Canis lupus familiaris: one gene and its partners. The protein of the gene in region 2 purifies or fractionates together with the protein of the main gene of each other region. This does not show direct contact. Links are inferred from orthologs where the notes say so. Each region holds a gene or a part of one and is shown on either strand. Other genes may lie near its edges.

Region 1 (4,976 bases), about 69 Mb from region 2:
CGCAGCTCATGCAGAGGTCCTATGCCTGGAGGAGACTTGACAAGACCAAGGGACTGTGACAAGTGTGCTTCTCTGGCTGGGGACCCTCCCAGTTCGGCAACCTCAGCACCTGGCAGATATCTCACACTTCTGTTCCACGATTGGTAGTGGTGATAACTCACGACTTCCCCATCTATCACGAGAGTTTGGTATCAGTGCTAGGGATGAACTATAAAGGTGATCATTATACCCACCAAAATTTTAAGCAGGAGCCTATGTTTGGGCATTTATGTTCTGAGAAAAGGGTTCATGTCCTGGGAAAGCCAGAAAAAAAAAAAAAAAAAAAAGTTTGGATTAGGGCATGGGGAAGACTACAAGTCCCACAAAGCTCTGAATAGTTCTTAACCAAAGAGAACTACAGTTCCCAGAAGGCCTTGAATTGGCCTCAGGTGCCCTGGAGCCAAACCACGGACCTCTACCAAATACTGCGCGTGAGATCTTACAGGGTTTTTTCCAAACTTTGACCAGAATATAATACCCAAAGGGATGGTACCCTAAATAATGCTATCAAGGTTTTTATCTCGGTGTAATATCATTCATACTTCCTCTGTCAACTGGGCTTATGACCCACGGAATGCCTAGGCTTGCGACCAAAAAAAGGCTCCTTAGTATAGTGTACTCAGCAGGCGGTGATGACTGTGGAGCCTCTGGGGGTTACTCAGGTCCCCGGTGCACTTGGTGCCTTAGCATACCCGGCTCAAACAGAAGGGACCCTGAGCCCCGGGTTCAGGAGAGGACGCTGCTCCTGCCGGTACGAAGCAGTCGAGAGCACCGGTGTCCTCCATGCGTTCCCGCTGCCCCCTTCCTGCTCGGGGGAGAAGCGAGGCCGACACTTGCTACCCGGAGACCCAGAAACTAGAGCGCACCGAGGCGGGAGAAGCAGACGCGGGCCTCCTCGGGAAGATAGCCGCCGCGAGCCGGGACGCTCAGACGCCGCTCTCGTTACCTACGGACAGGCGGGGCACGGAGGGGCCACCCCGGCCAGGCGTGCCTCGCCTTCGGCTCCCCGCGCAGCCGACGCCCGCAGCGGCGGGAACGCGCCCCCGAAGCCCCCAGCTTAGGGCAGCCGCTGCCACCGCCGAGGCCGCTCCCGGCGTGGGGGGAGATGGCCAGAAAGCGCGCCGTGGCTCCTTTAAGGCCCCTCCTCGCCCCCCCTCCCCGCCCACGTGACCCGGGGCGGCCGCGCGCCGGCTCGGCCCCCCGCGCAAGCGGCGATGGCGGCGGCGGCGGGAGCTGCAGCGGCGGCGGCCGCCGAGGTGCGGAAGGGGAGGGGGAGAGGCGGGTGCATGCCCGCGCGCGCGCCCGGGGGAAGCGCGCGCCCGTGCAATGCTCCGGGGGTGCAACGGGGCCGGGGGGCCCGGACGAGACCTACAGCAATCCGGAGGGCCAGCACCGGGGGCGGATGAGGGGACCAGGGGGTGGGAGGTGGGGGGAGTGGGCACGGAGGCGCGCGTGCAGCCGCCGGCTGCCCCCGAGTGGGCAGCGGGAGCCGGGGCCCCAGGAGCGCGCGCGAGGGGCACGAGGGGCCGTCCGCCGGGCTGGGGAGCGGCGGGCGCTGGAGGGGTTGGTGCCCGGGGTCCCCGCGGCCTGGGGGACAAAGGGGGAGCGGCGCGTGCAGCCGGGAGGAGGGGGCGGGGCCGGGGCGCAGAGGCCCCGCCCCCTCCCCCTCCTCTTTTCCAGGCCCCAGAGATGCGGGGTCTGCCGAGAGGGAGGGGGCTGATGCGGGCCCGGGGGAGGGGTCGTGCGGCCCCCCAGGGCAGCCGAGGCCGCGGACGGGGGGGCCCCCATCGAGGAAGAGGTAGGCCCCGGAGCCTACTCTCTCTTCCCAGAGCCCAGGCGTCCTGGGCTCCCCAACTTCCTAGCGGGCTGACCAGCCCTCCTATACCTTGTGTCCCCTGCCAGGGGGAGGCCCCTGCTGAGATGGGGGCGCTGGTGCTGGAGAAGGAGCCCAGAGGAGCCTCTGAGAGAGGTGAGTGCGGCTGAACAGGCCCAGCTGGACCTTCACCTCCCCCAACACAGGATTCCCCGAGACCTTAGCCCTGAACTTTTTCTTTCCCCTTACAGTTCACGGCTCTTTGGGGGACACCCCTCGTGGTGAGGAGACCCTGCCCAAGTCCAGCCCTGACTCCCTGGAGCCTGCTGGCCCCTCATCCCCAGCCTCTGTCACAGTCACCGTGGGTGATGAGGGGGCTGACACCCCCCTAGGAGCCACACCGCTCATTGGGGATGAACCTGAGAATCTGGAGGGAGATGGGGACCTCCACGGGAGCCGAATCCTGCTGGGTGAGAGGCTGGGGAGTCAGGGGCCTGGGGGGCAGAGGGGGGGTATCCTCTGATTACCTCTCGTCTTACCTTGTTTCTGTCTGCCTATTTGTCTTCCAGGCCATGCCACAAAGTCATTCCCCTCTTCCCCCAGCAAGGGGGGTGCCTGTCCCAGCCGCGCCAAGATGTCAATGACAGGCGCAGCAAAATCACCCCCCTCAGTCCAGAGTTTGGCTATGCGGCTGCTGAGTATGCCGGGAGCCCAGGGGGCAGCAGCGGGGCCTGAACCCCCTGCAGCCACACCCAGCCCAGAGGGGCAGCCCAAGGTCCACCGAGCCAGAAAAACCATGTCCAAACCAGGAAATGGGCAGGTGAGAATGAGGGGGAGGGGTGGAGGTGGGGAGACCCAGGTAACCCACTGTGTACCCCTTGTGGACTTTTTTTTTTTTTTTTTTTTTTTTTTTTTACAGTTTAGCTTCAGACTTTTTCTCATCCCTTCAGGGCTCGCCATACTTACCTAGGGGCTACTGTGTGTCAGATTCTGGGCTGGGCTTGATCTGAACAGACAGACAAGTTTATATTCTTGGGGAGAGGGGAGTTGTAAAAAAGGTTAGAGGGGCACTTGGGTGGTTCAGTGGTTTAAGCATCTGGCTCGGGTCATGATCCTGGATCTAGTCCCACATCAGGGAGCCTGCTTCTCTGCCTCTGTTGCTGCCTCTTTTTGTCTCTCAGGAATAAATAAGTAAAATCTTTAAAAATAAAAAAAGGTTAGAGGATTACTGTTGTAGTTAATTGTCCCAATTATTCTTATGATAATGACTAAGGAACTTCTAACTTGCTTTCTACCTCAAAGCAAGCCCCAAGGGAGCTTTTTCCCTCCCTTTGAAACTCCCCCTGCTTCCTTTTTCAAAGGGCTTCTAAGGATTTTACTGTGACTCCCTACAGGGAAGGAGGGTGAGGGAAAGGACAAAAAGCCCCAGAATTTCAGAAGCTTTGTGACAGTGTTTTTGGGGGTTTGGGTATGGTTTAGGTAGCTTTGGGCAAGGCACAAACCTATTTTCTCATCTGTAAAATGGGTAAAGAGGGCCCGCTCCTTCGGGTGAGTGAAAAGGTGAGTGTTAGGTGTGGAATGTGCCTCATACCCTTCTTCTCGAGAGACAGCACTTCTTGTGATTGCCACATTCTGGCTTACTGGAGCTTCAGGTGACATTTTTGAGGGTGTGGCTCACCCTTGACTGAATGCAAATGCTCCCTGACCCTAAAGTGTGCTCCCTCTCTGCCACTAGCCTCCTGTCCCAGAGAAGCGGCCCCCTGAAGTGCAGCATTTCCGCATGAGTGATGACTTGCACTCGCTGGGGAAGATGACCTCAGGTCAGCGCCACCCCCACACCCCACCCACCTGCCACCTGATAAATCTTGTCCGGAGGGTCGAAGAACCAGCCTTATTCCTTTCTCTCTCTCCTTCCAGATGTGGCCAAAAGGAGGAAGCTGAACTCTGGAGGTGGCCTGGTGAGCCTAGAGAGGCTGAAGACAAGGCCTCTCCACCTGGGGGGGGCTGCATCCTGCCCTCAAGGGAAATGGTTGGGAAGGGAAGTACCAGCAGCTTCCATTTTTCTGATCTTTTCCTAGTCGGAGGAGTTGGGTTCTGCACGGGGTTCAGGAGAAGTGACCATGGAGAAAGGGGACCCAGGGTCCCTGGAGGAGTGGGAGACAGTGGTGGGGGATGACTTCAGCCTCTACTACGACTCCTACTCTGTGGATGAGCGTGTGGACTCTGACAGCAAGGTGAGAAGGAGCCAGCCTACCTCTCTGCCAAGGCTCACTCTCCAGTCTTTCCCACCCACCCACCCCCTTTGTCTCTCTTTCCTTTTTACCTTGTGACACCCCCTAATTCACCTTCCCATCCTCTCTGTAACTTCCTCCCTTTGTGTGTTCCACCCCAGCCCGGCCCCTCGCCCCTCTCCATTGTGGTAACCACCATCCTGGACTTTGGGTTTAGCATCCCATTTTGGTTTTGGGTTTTTTTTTTGTTTTTAAGATTTAATTTATTTATTCGTGAGAGAGACACACAGAGAGGCAGAGACACAGGTAGAGGGAGAAGCAGGCTCCACGCAGGAGCCCAATGTGGACTCGATCCCAGATCTCCAGGATCATGCCCTGGGCCAAAGGTGGCGCTAAATCGCTGAGCTACCCCGGCTGCCCCCATTTTGTTGTTTATCTGTGGTTTGTCTGTTTATTCTTTTGTTCTTAGTTTGATTTTATCTCATATGTTTGTATTTACCTATGTGACATAATGCGGTCTTCCTGACGTGCACTTTGTTTAACGTGTCAGGGAAAATTTCAGATATGCACAAAAGAGTAAATGGTGAGCCCTCATGGAGCCTCACCCTGCTCCCACAATTTTCAGGACACAGTGGCTCTTGATTCAGCTCTTCCTCCACCAACCGGCCCACCTCCCTGACTGTTTTAAAGTAGCCATCACATCATTTTATCTGGAGATGTTTCCATTTGTATCTTTAAATGTGAGACCTCTTCCTATGCTTTGATATCACTGCTTCACTGTTCGCAATCTGAAAAATGTGACTCCCGGTGACTACCAGTGACTCCCTAACACCATCACCTTGCTACTAGGGTTCATAATATGCCTTGGTGGTTTCGTAAACAGGTTTTTGTTT
Region 2 (4,395 bases):
CCTATAGCGGTGATCTGATTAAATAAGAGTATATATGGAAAGTGGTAGCCAGAAGAGAGGTAGAGGAGAGAAATCTCTAAGTGAAAATACAAAAGTAAGGAACCTAAAAAAAGTTCAAGTCATTACGATCATAAAACATGGGGTTTATTTTTAAAGAAAGAAATCATTACTTTATTTCGTTTTTAAAAAGTGAGCTCTGTGCCCAACATGAGACTTGAATTCACGACTCCCAAATTGAGGCATAAGCTCTACCACTGAGCCAGCCAGGTGCCCCAAAGATGGGGATTTCTAAAGACAACTGTACTAAAAACATACAGATCACTTTTTAGTATCAAAATCCATCATCACTAAAACGCTTTGCTTTAAACAGGTAAACCAGGAAGATTAATACCAAGTTTAAATCAATCTTTAGATCTGAATCAGGACACTTACCAACTGAGCCACCCGTTGAGAGCTGGCAAAACTCAAAGAGTCCATCAAACACTGGACAGTCTTCTCCAACATTAACTGTGAAAGACGGATTTCAGTTACAATCCATTCTACGAATTAATGAAGTTTTTTCTTACAAAAACTATTCCTTACAAATATTTTTATATGATGTAATCACGGATCACACATCACAGTATAAATCTAAAGTTTGCTATTTAAAAATATAATTAATCATTTTATCCAAGGTAATTTCAAGGGTTATATGTAAAACATCACCACCAAATCCTACCAGGATAATTTGTAGAAAATCTCAGCTCTATTATCAGAAGATCAATAGCCACCAAAATATAAAAGGTATTTGAATTATTTAAATTAAAACACGCACTTAAATATTAGGCATTTCTCCTAAAACATACAACAAATTAATCAAGGTTCTAAAAAACTTAAAAAACTTTAATTCCTTTATGATTTACTTTTTCTAAAACTCCTTAAATGCACAGAACATCCATAACTTTGAAATATATTTTAGTGAGTACTAAAAAGACAAAGCAGCTGGCTGCCTACCCAATCTTAAAGGATGGTAAGAATTAACTAGGTTCGGAGCAGCCAAGACATAGAAGGAAGGGGTAAAGCACAAGGAAACAACACGGGTACATGACACATTGCAATATATTTAGTTCCTCAGTACTGACAGGATTAAAGGGACATATTATTTATGTACATGACCCATTCGCAGCCTCTTCCCACCCCAATTATAACCTCTTCAAAAATAAGGGTAATTATTTTACATAGCTTTGTATACCTTTAGTTTATTAGCATGATAATGAACAGCTTTTAGTTTCTTACTATTTAAATATAATCATAATCTTAATATAATTCAGTATTATGTATTAAATCAATCCTGTTAATTCATTTGCCCTATCTACACAGGACTTTTAATCTAAGCCTGAACCTGTATCCAAAAAAAAGGTATAAAAAATATGTTCTACATGCATTATAGCATTTTATTGAGTAAATGAAATAATCTAAGGTAGAAATGGGTACAAAGTTCTATGAATGTATAACTTATCAAGCCACTACACCTAATTTAGTATCTGAAATTGTTCTTCTCAAAAAAAATCACTGAAGTGATTTTAAAATCATTGTTATTTAAACATTTTACAGCAAATATTGCTTTTTTTTAAAAGATTTTATTTATTTATTCATGAGAGAACAGAACTGCTGATGAGAATGAACTTCAGTATCATGCTTTAAAAAAAAAAACTGTTTCAATCATTTTAAGACATTTCTCATTCCACTTTCAAGCCAGGCAACCGCTAATAACAAAACACGTATCTATAAAAGAGAGTATCACGTAGAAGAAAATCAAAATCAAAATCACGTAGAAGAAGCTTCACTAACAAATGGAACAGATTATGTATTAACAATCCAGATTAACTAAAACACACAAAGAGAGGTAAGAGATCCGTACATACACCAAGCTAAGGCCAATCCAAGTAGACTTTTTTTTTTTTAAAAAGGCAGGGAAGTAAGGTCTCCCCACCAATACCCATCATCCCCAAGGTAACATGGGACCAAAACAAAGACTAGAGGAACATCCAGACAGCTCTTGGGCCGTCTGGCAGATGGATATCTTAATTATCCTTATTCCCAAGAGCTCAGGCTTCGGGTAGATTTTGTTTTGGGTTTTACGATTTTCTTTCCTTCTTTCTGGGAGAGAAAGTGCTCAGGTCCGCGTGAGGGCGCACCCACAAGCAGGGGGAGAGAGGGACCTGACTGTGCTGGGTGCGGAGGCCGACGCAAGCCTCGAGCTCAGCATCAGTGAGTCAACTGAGCTACCCAGGCGCCTGGTTTTTTTTGTTGTTTTTTTTAAAGCAGTTTTAGTATTTTTAATTTTTACATTGACTTTTCAAACCAGTAATTAACTAAGGAAGTATCTTCCTCAGGCGGAACACCTACATGTGGATATTCTAATGATATGCTTCTAGAAAATACTCACTGATCCTTAGTAAGATTAACATAGACTTTTAACATAGAAACGTACATCTCTGCATCTGCTTACTATACTCAGACATGTTATCTGGTCTTATTGAACGTAGAAATTTGATGTACTCATCACTGTGGTATTTTGTCATTTCTTCAGCAGTGGCTTTGTGGGGCCTCTGTGAAGAAAAACAAATGTCAGAATGGTGGAGCCACAACTGGTTACATCAGAGTCATCAAACACCACGTACACAATTTCCCCTAACAATCCTCTCAGAAGAACTAGCTCTGCCAGAAAATAAATTCCAAAGTGAATCCAAATTTATACGTGTATTTCTTAGAAATGAGTAATCAATTCCAAAGCTAATTCCTACTCCTTTAAAGCCATTAGACAGGTCTGACCCCAATTATACATTCCTTTTATTGCAGTGGAAATGGGTCAATGCTTATAAAGTTGAATCTGTTCAGGAACTCTCACTTTCCATCATAAACCGTCTGCTCTGTATCAAGTGAGACTGAGACTCAAGCTCAATTTTAAGTCTTTGTTCACAATCTCTTCCTTTCCTTTGCCTATCCTAATTATCCTTATTCCCAAGAGCTCAATTTCATTTTTAACACACTTTTCCCAGGAGGCTTCCAGAAAGTATATAATCCAACCCCTCCTTTCCTGTAAATATTTGTTATCTGAAAAAAGTAACTCATATATACTCAATACTAGTAACTGTTTCAAGTCTTTCTTTTCTCCCCAAACAGGCAAGAACTGTGTCTTGCATTTGTTTACATATACTTCCACATTAGTGCAAAAGCACTTAAGGTAGGTGTATCCTAAATGTTAGCTGTACTGTACACATCCACTAATACACTGCTCCATATGTCAGTAAGTATTTGTAGAATTTCCTACATAATTCTTCTGTAATAGTCAACTCTTCAGCAGCACAGCCAAGTAAACCACTATTGCAACAAAGATATTTAGTTTGCTAAACTGAGTTGTTGGCCAAAATGTGAAAAGGTGGGATATGAGAAACTTTTGAAAAATGGTCGAGTAAGAGGGTTAAAAACCATTCCCACACTGTTTTCTCTGAAGATTAAAACAAAAAGAGTTTGTTTTCTTCCAGAGTTTGTTTTCATCTGCTAAACGCCATTTAAGGGGATTAATAATTTCAAAGTAGATTAAAAAAAAAAAAAACAACACTGAATATTTACCAAAAGGTATACTTACGTATATTTCCATTTTTCTATATAAGCCATAATTTAGCAGCAAGTTATGGGTCATGCGGATTCTATGAGGTTTCATGGGATGACCCTGTCCATAATAGTAATTTCCAATATCACCTAAAATAGAAAAAAGACAACTGAATAGAGAATCTTTACAGTCTAAATTTATGTGTGTTCATCATCACAAGGCACTTACCACCTAATCAAGATTTAAAACTTGAAATGATCTCAGATCTTTCAATTTTCAAACTGTACTAGAAAGCCAAGATACTGGGTTACGTTAACTGTGGTAACTTCATTAATACACGTTTATTAGAGATTAAAAGCAAGCAAGCTTTTCAGATTTTCAGTTTGCCAAAATTTATTTAGGATTAGCCCTAATAAAATACTTATAACAGTAGTTTTAGTTACTTAAATTTGAAAATTAATTTTTTGTATTTATGGACAAATTCAGACGCCTAAAGCAAATTCTGAGTTTCATTGTTATTTAAACATTTTACAGCAAATATTGCTTTTTTTTTAAAAGATTTTATTTATTTATTCATGAGAGAGAGAGAGAGAGAGGCAGAGACACAGGCAGAGGGAGAAGCAGGCTCCACGCAGGAAGCCTGACGTGGGTCGCGATCCGGGGTCTCCAGGATCACACCCTGGGTTGAAGGCAGGCGCTAAACCGCTGAGCCACCTGGGCTGCCCGCAAATATTGCTTCTTGATATTTACTGGCATCCCAGAAATATTTTACAGTTGGCATTACGGGAGTTAAAATGTTC
Region 3 (4,843 bases), on a different chromosome or scaffold from region 2:
TTCTAAGCAACAGGGTTACGGTGGACCATGTCTTCGTCTTTTGGATTTATTAATAAATTCACTTTTTATTACATGTCACGTTCACAAATCCCACTTTTTTTGGGCAATTAGATCTAAAGGTAATAGAAATCTTTTTTTTTTTTTTTTTCTGGCCATTAGATCTAGAGGTAATAGAAATGTCACAAATGCCACTTTTTTTTTTTTTTTTGGCAATTAGATCTAAAGGTAATAGAAATGTTTATTTTAAAAAATTTTTTTTAAATGTCTCTTGACAAAACATGGCTCACACAGCCTGAGCCTTCCTCCCAGATTGACAGCACGATGTCAAGGATGGAAAGGAGTGCTAAACTAACCAACTAATCCAATATGTGCAATGAGGTTTTAAATTAGAGAGTTAACTAAAATGTCCCGAGGAGGAAAAAAAAACCAAAAAAAAAACCAAAAAAAAAAAAAAAAAAACCAAACCCCAAAACAAATAACATAACTTCGCTGAGAATCCCTATTTAAAAAAAAAAATGTTGGCTGTTAATGGGCTTTTTCATTTTTTTTTTTTTTTAAATGGGCTTTTTCAGAGGTTGACCTGTAACCCAGACCATCAGGGAAGCGGAGAATAATGTATGTTTAAGCAACAAAAATGAGTTTTTAAAAATAAATTTATTTTTTATTGGTGTTCAATTTGCCAACATATAGAACAACGCCCAGGGCTCATCCCACCAAGTGCCCCCCTCGGTGCAGCAAAAATGATTTGGGCGGATTTAAAAAAAAAAAAAAAAGAATTTGTACCCCGTGGAACACAGGCACTTGCCACGTACTAAGTGAAAGAAACAGCGCGAAGGCCGGTTCCGGGGGCGTCGGGCCGGGCCGGAGGGTGTCCCCGGGGAGTGGGGCGGGCCGAGCCCCGGCGGGCCCAGCCCCGGGCTCCTCGCGCACTCGCCTGCCCCCGGGCCGGGGCCGGGGCCGGGGCCGGGGCCGGGCGCGCGGCGGCTCGGGCTGGGAAGCGCAGGGCGGACGGCGCGGAGGGAGAGTCCTCCTCCGGCCTCCCCTCCTGGAGGGGGTGTCTCCCCCAGGCCAGCTCCCTCCCCCCGGGCTCGCGGGGCGGGTCTGCGCGGCTCGGCTCGGCTCTGCTCGGAGCCGGGCGGCGGCGGCGGCGGCGGCGGCAGGAGCAGCCCCGGGGCTGAGCGGCGGCCTCCGGGCAGCGCGGGGAAGCGGCGGCTCGGCGGGCGCGGGGCCCTGGGGAGACCGGCGCGGGCTGCCGTCGGGATGGAGGACGCGTCGAGGGGAGCCGCGGCCGCCGGGGCTGGACTCCCGGCCGGGCCCCGCTCCAGGCACCCGCGAGGCGGAGGAGGCCTGCGTCCCGGGCCCGACCGCGGCGGCCGGCGAGCCAGGCGGGCGCCGCGGGGGAACGGCGGAGCCGCGGCCGCTCTCGGGAACCTGCGCCGCCGCGGCCGCTTATTGTCTCTCCCCTTCCACCCGGGGGCAAACAGGAAGCGCGCCGGCTGCCCGCGCGACGGACGGGCATGCGGGCCAATGAGCGCGGCCGACCGGGAGCGCGGCGGCGAATGGGCGCGGAGAAGAGAGGCGGGACTTCCGGGCGGGCTGTCACCCTCTTCCCCCCTTTTGGGCTGGAGGCTCCACCTTTTGTGTTTCCCGCACAGTCAATCAAAATAGGAAAAAAAAATCCCCGGACCGCTCCGGCCGTGTCCGCCGCCGCTTCCCGCATCCTCTCCCGCCGCCGCCGCCTTCGCTCCTCACCATGTGTAAGGCGGCGGGGAGCCCCGCCTGAGGTGCCCTAAACACACTATGACCGGTACGTAGAGCCGAGAGCAGCCCTTGCCGCCGCCGCCGCCGACCACAGCCAGCCCTTGCCGCCGCCGGCTCCCGGCCCGTGTGCGCGACGAGTGTCCGTGAGAGGCAGAGCCGCACTCCCCCGCCGCCTCCCTGCCCTCCCGGCCAGCCAGCGTGCCCCCCGCAGCCCCAGCAGCGCCGTGTCCCCGCCGGGCCCCGGGGCGGGCGGCCGGGCCCGCCGGGAGCGCATCCCCCCGCGTGCGGGCGCGGGCGGCGGGCGGGCGCGTGTGAGTGACTGACGGTGCGAGAGGAGCGAGCGCGAGTGAGAGCGAGCGGCGCGGAGGGAAAGGGGAGGAGAGGAGAGGAGAGGGGGCAGGGGCAGCGCGGGGAGGAGGAGGAGGAGGGAAAGAGGAGGAGGAGGAGGGTTACAGGCAGCGGCGGGCGGGGGCAGCCGCGGGAGGGGAGGAGGGAGCCGCCGCCGCCGCCGCCGGGGGGCGGGTGGGGGAGGGGAAGGGGACGCGGCCCGGGCTTTCCGAGTAATTCCGCCGCGGCCCGCGGGCCCCCTCCCTCTCCTCCACCCGCCTTCCTCCCCACCCCCACCCCCCCCCGCGCTGTGCCTGCAGCTCCCGAAAAGCCCGTGAAACAAGAGGAAATGGCTGCCTTGGACGTGGACAGCGGCGGCGGCGGCGGCAGCGGCGGCGGCCACGGCGAGTATCTGCAGCAGCAGCAGCAGCAGCAGCAGCACGGAAACGGCGCGGCGGCGGCGGCGGCGGCGGCGGCGGCGGCGGCCCAGGTGAGGAGCGGCTGAGCCCCGGCCCGGCTCCCCCCAGCGCCGCTTTCTCCTCCCCTCGCCTCTCCCCTCCCTCCGCGCCTCGCTCTCTCTCTCCTCCCCTCCCCCCGCCCCGGGAGCTGCCCGCCCGAGGCGCCAACGCTCCGACCCCGCCCGCGCTCCCCCGCCCGCCGCCTTTTTGTGAGCGTGTGTGTGTGTGTGTGTGTGAGTGTGTGCGCGCGAGTGTGAGCGTGTGCGCCCTCCCGGGGGTGGGTTCCGGGCGGAAGGTGGGGGCCCGGCGCGCAGCCCGCCGCCCGCCTTCCCTCCCGCGGACGGCGGAGCCGGTGTGCGTGCGAGCGGGAGGACGCGAGCCCGAGCCGAGGAGGAGGAGGAGGAGGAGGAGGAGGAGGAGGAGAGCGCGGGCTGGCGCTGGCCCGGGCTCAGCCTGCGAGGACCCAGGCGCACTTCCTGTGCGAGCGGCGGCCCGGCCCTAACCGCCACCCCCTCCCCCTGTCTCCCTCTCTGAACCCGCCCATCGGGGGTAGGACACTCAGCCGTCACCGCTCGCCCTGCTGGCCGCTACCTGCAGCAAGATAGGGCCGCCATCGCCGGGCGACGACGAGGAGGAGGCGGCTGCCGCAGCCGGGGCCCCCGCCGCCGCCGCCGCCGCCGGAGCGGTAAGTCTCGCGCGCGCGGCCCGCCCCCGCCGAGGCCCTGCGCCCGCCATCCCGGGCCTGCCCGGCCTCCCGCCCGGCTTCCCGCCCGCCGGGCCTCCCCGGGCCCGCGCCTTCCGCGGTGCGGCCGGGGCGCCCTCTCGGGCTCCTTGGCGTGCCCGAGCGGATCGGAGGCCGGCCCGGGCTTTCTCTAGATTGTCACTGCGGCGCCTCGATCCGAATTCACTACAAAATGAAGTCAGAGAGGGCGGGGGTAGAGGACTCCAAAATGGATGTTTGAGCAATTCATATCAGTGCCGAAAAACTCCTTCGCTGCACACTACAAAATTTTCAAGCACAGCCCTATCGGCCATAGATAGTATCAACTACAGAAGGCAGTGTCTTTAGTTCCTAGTATTTTTTTGAACCTGGGGCTTTTCCTGCTGGAACTTAACTAGATCTTAAGTGATTTAAGGCGTAAATTGCTAAAAAAGACCCCTCCCCCCCAAAAAAATAAAAAACCTCAAAACGCGGGGGAGGCATGAAGGTTTATTCTTTGGAGATTACCCTTTTGTAATGCAGCAGTGAACACTGTGAGTGGTTTTTTGGGGGGCCATTCGAAGTTGTTGGATTTTAGTTTTTGCAGACGACTTAAATTTGCGGGAATTCTTCGTAAGTGGAGTAAGTGAAACCTACATTCATTTAGCGACCGTTGAAATTGGTGAAGTTATTACTCAGATGGTACTTTGGTTTTTGAAATTGAATATGAAATACTAGCGTTGGAAACAAAAGTACATGGAAGGAATTGTGTTTACCTGCCTGTTAACGTCTACTGCCCTTACAGTTGAATTTGGTTGGCAAAGCTGTATTTTCATTTTTATTACGATTACTGGTCTGGTAAGATGTGGTGGGAATTCTGTTTGTAGTGTTTTTAGTTTGTCTGGGGGCAGGAAAGAGGACCTGGTCAGTGTGTTGTAGGAGGGCTTAATACGAATTAACTGGACCCAATTTTTAAGACTGTTAATTGTGAATTTTATCTGTTTGAATTGTGTTAAACGTGTAGATGTGTTCACATTAAAATAACAAAAAGCTCTCTCAGTCATTCTTGGTTTCTTTTGAGGTGGATTATAGAAATTGATTTATGGAGTACTATTTTGATTGGTCACTGTAGACAAAAAAGTCTGATATTTGGCATAGTCTGCAGGAAATTCTTAGTATGTCTAGGCACTAAAAGTGAAGCTACTGTTAAGCTGTATTGTTAAATACTGTATTTGTAACTTTAGTGCTTCAAACTATACTGTAGAGGGATGTGAATAGTTTTAATGTCTTAAAAGTGTTTTAGGTTTTGTGCTTTCTTAAGCTGATTAAAATGTAAAAGCATAAAATTATGTTTGTGAGAGGCATTGTTACTTTTAGACAAACTTAGGGGTTGATAAGCCTTTTTTATGAATTATCCCTCTAGCCCCACAGTGCCAAAACAAATTGACTGTTTATCTTAAAAAAACAAAAAACCAAAAACCACTGCACAAGTAAAATTACAAAGCAGATTGCTTCTACTTGTCTTTTACAATATTTTCAATTAGAACAAAAAATTTCTTGTAACTGCCATTTACCAAGTTTATATAGCTCACTGATG
Region 4 (4,842 bases), on a different chromosome or scaffold from region 2:
TCTGAGTGAAGTACGTATGCATATGATATCTAAGATTTGCTTCAAAGTACTTTGGGGGAAAAATACTTTGGGGGGTTACGTGGGGATATTTTTAACACTATCAGAGTTATTTACCTCTGGGTAACAAAATTATTACTAGCTTTTCTTTTCTTTATATTTTTCTATTTTCCAAGTTATCTATAGTAATTCAAAATCATTTTTTAATTGAGAAAATTGGGGGGCACTTGAGTGGCTCAGTCAGTTGAGCATTTGACTCTTGGTTTTGGCTCAGGTCATATCTCAGGGTCCTCAGATCGAGCCCTACATGGGGCTCTGTGCTCAGCAGAGAATCTCCTTGAGATTCTCTGTCTTCCTTTCCCTCTACCCCTCCCCATGTTCAGGCTCTCTTTCTGTTTATCAAATACATAAAATCTTTTTTAAAAAATAATGAGAAAGTTTTCTTCAAAAAATGTTAAAGAAATCCTTACCAATACTCCATCCACAGATGAAACTTTCTCCCAAGTTAACCAAGCTCTTTCTCTGACATGATCTGGTATCTTTAATTTCTGACATAATGCAGTAAAATCGGGTTCTTCGGTTTCTTCAAACACAAGCCTACCAGATAAAAACAGACATATAATGGGGATATATTTAGAAATCAAACTAAAAGTAAACATTTGCTTCAATGGTTTGCATATAACAAACATCATTATTCTGAAAAAAGGCATTACTAAGTACTTTAAAATCTTATTTATCTTTGAAAAAAAATTACAGAATTTAAATGTTTATTTTTTTCATAGTCCTTCCAACAAATATACAACACAGTGAAAGATGTTTGTTGGCCTGAATCACATACACACCAGAACAGCAAAATAGCTTTGGAAAAGTAAGTAAGTATGATAGCTAACGCTGTATGGGAAAAGCGGGATGACAATAAGAGCAAAAAGAAGAAAGCCCATTTATGATATTGCAGAATCAATTTAGTATCAGCAATTTTGCTAAAATGCAGTCTACGCTTATCAACGTCTCATATAATCTCTCTACCTATAAGCATTTCTCACGTAATAAGAAACTTAACATGAATTCCTGCTATTCTTATTTCAGCCTTTTCTCTTCGATCTTCCTTACCCAAGATAGGTAGTCAATAGTTTCTTGTTGGCTAGCTCCCTTTCATTCTCTTAATGTCTATTTGACACCTAATAATAATATAAGGAATAGCTAATAATTTTTGAGTATTTACTCTGAGCCTGTGTGAATAAAGTATCTTAAATGTATAGTTTCAGTGGAATCCACACATGGGCCTACTAGATAAGTACTCTTATCCTTGTTTTACAGACAAGTACCAAATAAGAAGTTAAAGGACTCACTTGAGGACATGGCCAGTAAGTGGGAAACCCAAGTCTAACTCCATGATCCATGCCCTTGACCACTATGCCAGACTGGTAAACCTCCTTCAGAGCGTAATTAACTTTGATCATGTCAACAAGGAGGGTGCACTCTTGCTCCTAGTGAAGGTTTCCCTTCCAACATTCCCACTTAGGCCAGATATAATGCAACAGAGAGAAGATCTCAGCTTCAAGGTACAGACAGATTCCATCACTGAAAATGCAGGTGGAGCGGGCCCTGAATCCATCCCTAAGCAGGACGCTTGGCTTTGGATTGCCAGGCACTAGTTTCACCCTTGCTAAGCAGCTAGTCTACACAGTTCAACTGCCCGTACTAGCAAAACCTTTCGGGGGGTATGGTTAATCAAGAGTGGAGTGTATCCTGTATGGTTTTACTTACAGGAAAATTTTTTATAGTTCCATCATTTAAAAGTAAATAATGCAATGTTGGGGTGGGGAAGAAAGGCCTTCTTTTCCCAGGTGGGGGCCCTAATTTGAATATTTCTGGTTACCCTACAATAATCCAGAGGACGCTTCCAAAGCTCCGTGGTAAACATGGAACTCTTTATAGAGTAGATTTACTGCTTTTTCCAAATGAAAACGTTCAAGTACTGGACACAACAGAGCTTAATCAGAAATTAAATTTGCTTTCAGAACAGCTTGACTGTTTTTCCCCCCAATTAGCGAGTGTGATTTTTAACTGACCTGTAAGACAACCCATTTCAACATATGTATTTTTAACAGCTTTTCACAGGCCATCCCAGAAGCCCATTCCAATCGTTCACAATCTATCTGAACCCTGTTAGTGTCTAGCAAGTTCAAAGAATAGGGCTTAGTAATGGACTAGAACAGGTGAGGAAGCGGTGAGGAAAAGAAAGCAATCCCATTCTCAAACAAAACAAAACAAAACAAAACAAAAAACAGGTACTCTCAGAGTGGTGGAACCAGGACTGGCAAAAATAATGGCAATCATAGTCTTTCAGTCTTAGGTTCTTAACCATAAAGTACCACGATCGTGAAAAATAGGATGCTGCAACAGAATAAGTCCTCCCTGTCACGTTCTACTGTATTATCACAGTAGTCGCCTAAATTTAGAGACCACTTGGTGGTGCTGGTGCTGGTGGTGGCGCTGGTGGTGGTGCGGGTGGTGCTGGTGCTGGTGCTGGTGGTGCTGGTGCTGGTGCTGGTGGCGGTGCTGGTGCTGGGGGGGGGGGGGGGGGGGAGAAGTGTGCTGTGAGCACGGGCAGCTCACGAACTCTGCAGCCCAAGCGAAACAAAACAAGAGCAGGCGCGAGGATGTGTCCGGGCTGGAAGGCAAAATGGAAGAAGCGCTGCAAAGCGCCGAAGACGGATACCGAGGCTGTGCAGGGGGACCACGGAGAGGGAGCGGAGGCAGGCAGCGGCGCTCCAGCGGGGCGCGTCGCGGGGCTTGCCCGGTGCCGAGGCCTGGAGCCGCGTCGCCGCCGCCGTGTCCGCGGGAGGCCGCCCGTCCCCCGCCGCGTCGGCCGCCGGCTCCGTGTCCGCGGGCGCGGCGGCGGCACCTGTCACCGGGCGCGGGCGCCCGACCCCCCCCCGCCCGACACCTGTCAAGCCGGCGCCCGGCCCCCGCCGACACCGCGCCCGCCCCGGCCCCCGCCCGCGCCCGCGCCCGCCCCCGCCGCTCTGGGCTCACCCGGGCAGAGGCGGGTCGTCGGGGCCGCTGTCCTGCGCCGGGTCCTCCTCGGGCGGCGGCGGCGGCGGCGGCGGCGGCGGGGCTTCGGCGGCGGCGGCGGCGGCCCTCCGGGGGGCTTTGGGCGGCATGGCTGTCCGCGGGCCGGCGGCGGGGCGGGGCGCGGCGCGGCGCGGCGCGGCGGGGCGGGGCGGGGCGGGGCGGGGGGCGCACCTCGGGGCCGCCCCGCTGCGCGCAGACCCGGGGAGCGGCGCCCGGCGGAGCCCACGAGCCCTCCTCCCGCCGCCCACCGAGCGCCGGGCCAGCCGCGCGAAAACGTCACTTCCGCCCGCGGCGTCACGTCCGCGAGCTCCGGGGCCGCCGGCGGCGGGACGGACGGGGCGCTCCGGGGGCGCGGGGCGGCGGCGGGCGCGCGGCGGGCGGGGCCTGCACCCCCGCGGCCCCCGGGACGCGCTCGCCTCTCCCGGCGCGGGCCCGACCCCCGCCGCCCTGGGCCCCGCTCCGGCGGCGGGCGGCGGCGGCGCCGTATCTAGCGAGCGCACCCCGGGGGCACGCCCCGCCGCGCCCCCCCGCCCCGCGACACCCCGCCGCGCGCCGCGCCCTCCCGCCGCCTCCGCCCCGCCCCGCCGCGCCCCCTCCCCTCCCCGCCCCTCCCCGCCCCCTCCGCGCCGCCCCCCCGCGACCCGCGTCCGCGCCCTCCCACCGCCCCGCGACCTCCGGCTCGCCCCCGCCGAGCCTCCCCCGCGTCCCCGCCCCCTCCGCGCTGCGACCCCCTCTCCCCTTCTCCCCGTCTCCCCGTCCCCCCGTCCCCGACCGCCCTCCGCTCCCCGCCCCGCCCCCTCGCCCCTCCCCGCCCCGCCCCCGCTCCCGCTCCCGCCCAATCCGCCCCGCCGGATCCGCCAAAACAAAAACAACCGTCTGCGGAGCCCCCCGGGCCGCGAACGCTGGCGACGCCGGGAGACGGCGGGACGCGCGGGGCGAAGCACGGCCGCCCTCCGGGACCTGCGCGCGCAGACGGGGCCGGGGGCAGAGCCGGTGAGGACCTGAGCGCCCGCCCGCCGCGGCCCCCGGTGCCCCCCGCAGGCGCCGCCCGCCGTCCCGCGTCCGAGCATCGCCCTCTCCGGGTGTCCCTCGGGAGTAAATGAACTTTCATCTTTTTTTAAGTCAGGATTGTATTTAATATTTTATTTATTTATTCATGAGAGACACAGAGAGAGAGAGACGCAGAGACCCAGGCAGAGGGAGAAGCAGGCTCCACGCGGGGACCCGACGCGGGACTCGAACCCGGGACCCCGGGGTCACGCGCTGGTGAGCCACCCCCCACCCCCGCCCGGGCTGCCCCGTAAACGAAGTTTTAAAAACCGCGCGCGCGCGCACAGAACCGGGAGGGGCCGGCAAACTGTAAGGGGCATTTTCAGAGAAAAAGCGGCAGCTGAATGAATGCAAGCCCGCCCGGCCCGCCCGGCCCGGCCCGGCCCACGCGGGACGAGCGCCCACTGTGTGCCCGGCGCGTGCTGGGCCTCAACCAGTGATCGCCAGCCTCAGAACAACCCTTTGAAATCGGTGCTTTGGTCTTCCCCAGATGGGTGAATCCGCCCAGCGTTAGGGAGCGGATGGGGGGTCAGAGGATTTGAAAATAAATAAATAAGCAAACAAACAAACAAATAAATAAATCCTTATACACACGATTCAGGAACAATCGGGTCAAAGTTTTAAATCCCCCCACACGGCTTTCTGTTGCACAACCAAAGAAACATAAGAAATTCTGCAGATTCTTAAAAGAAGCCTTTCCTGATCTTTCCCCAACAG

What was found. Proteins that work in one complex are often made in the same cells at the same time.
Region 1: the proteins of HDAC2 (region 2) and EHMT2 purify together in Homo sapiens (co-immunoprecipitation; 4 studies listed by BioGRID and IntAct, with this or other methods). This does not show direct contact. The link is inferred for Canis lupus familiaris from reciprocal best matches to the Homo sapiens genes HDAC2 and EHMT2.
Region 3: the proteins of HDAC2 (region 2) and SP3 purify together in Homo sapiens (affinity purification with western blotting; 3 studies listed by BioGRID). This does not show direct contact. The link is inferred for Canis lupus familiaris from reciprocal best matches to the Homo sapiens genes HDAC2 and SP3.
Region 4: the proteins of HDAC2 (region 2) and RB1 purify together in Homo sapiens (affinity purification with western blotting; 4 studies listed by BioGRID and IntAct, with this or other methods). This does not show direct contact. The link is inferred for Canis lupus familiaris from reciprocal best matches to the Homo sapiens genes HDAC2 and RB1.

The regions. Positions count from the first base shown.
Region 1 is NC_049233.1:1,484,114-1,489,089, reverse strand, and holds the start of EHMT2 (histone-lysine N-methyltransferase EHMT2), read left to right. Parts: upstream 1-1,713; 5' UTR 1,714-1,728; coding exon 1,729-2,008; intron 2,009-2,103; coding exon 2,104-2,322; intron 2,323-2,421; coding exon 2,422-2,672; intron 2,673-3,587; coding exon 3,588-3,672; intron 3,673-3,769; coding exon 3,770-3,810; intron 3,811-3,930; coding exon 3,931-4,086; intron 4,087-4,976. UniProt on the Homo sapiens protein: Histone methyltransferase that specifically mono- and dimethylates 'Lys-9' of histone H3 (H3K9me1 and H3K9me2, respectively) in euchromatin.
Region 2 is NC_049233.1:70,469,836-70,474,230, forward strand, and holds part of HDAC2 (histone deacetylase 2), read right to left. Parts: intron 3,745-4,395; coding exon 3,632-3,744; intron 2,592-3,631; coding exon 2,474-2,591; intron 508-2,473; coding exon 433-507; intron 1-432. UniProt on the Homo sapiens protein: Histone deacetylase that catalyzes the deacetylation of lysine residues on the N-terminal part of the core histones (H2A, H2B, H3 and H4).
Region 3 is NC_049257.1:18,388,678-18,393,520, reverse strand, and holds the start of SP3 (transcription factor Sp3), read left to right. Parts: upstream 1-1,580; 5' UTR 1,581-1,800; coding exon 1,801-1,807; intron 1,808-2,408; coding exon 2,409-2,578; intron 2,579-3,099; coding exon 3,100-3,231; intron 3,232-4,843. UniProt on the Homo sapiens protein: Transcriptional factor that can act as an activator or repressor depending on isoform and/or post-translational modifications. Binds to GT and GC boxes promoter elements. Competes with SP1 for the GC-box promoters.
Region 4 is NC_049243.1:3,170,964-3,175,805, forward strand, and holds the start of RB1 (retinoblastoma-associated protein), read right to left. Parts: upstream 3,264-4,842; 5' UTR 3,165-3,263; coding exon 3,037-3,164; intron 2,209-3,036; exon of another isoform or gene 1,315-2,208; intron 866-1,314; exon of another isoform or gene 780-865; intron 595-779; coding exon 468-594; intron 1-467. UniProt on the Homo sapiens protein: Tumor suppressor that is a key regulator of the G1/S transition of the cell cycle. The hypophosphorylated form binds transcription regulators of the E2F family, preventing transcription of E2F-responsive genes.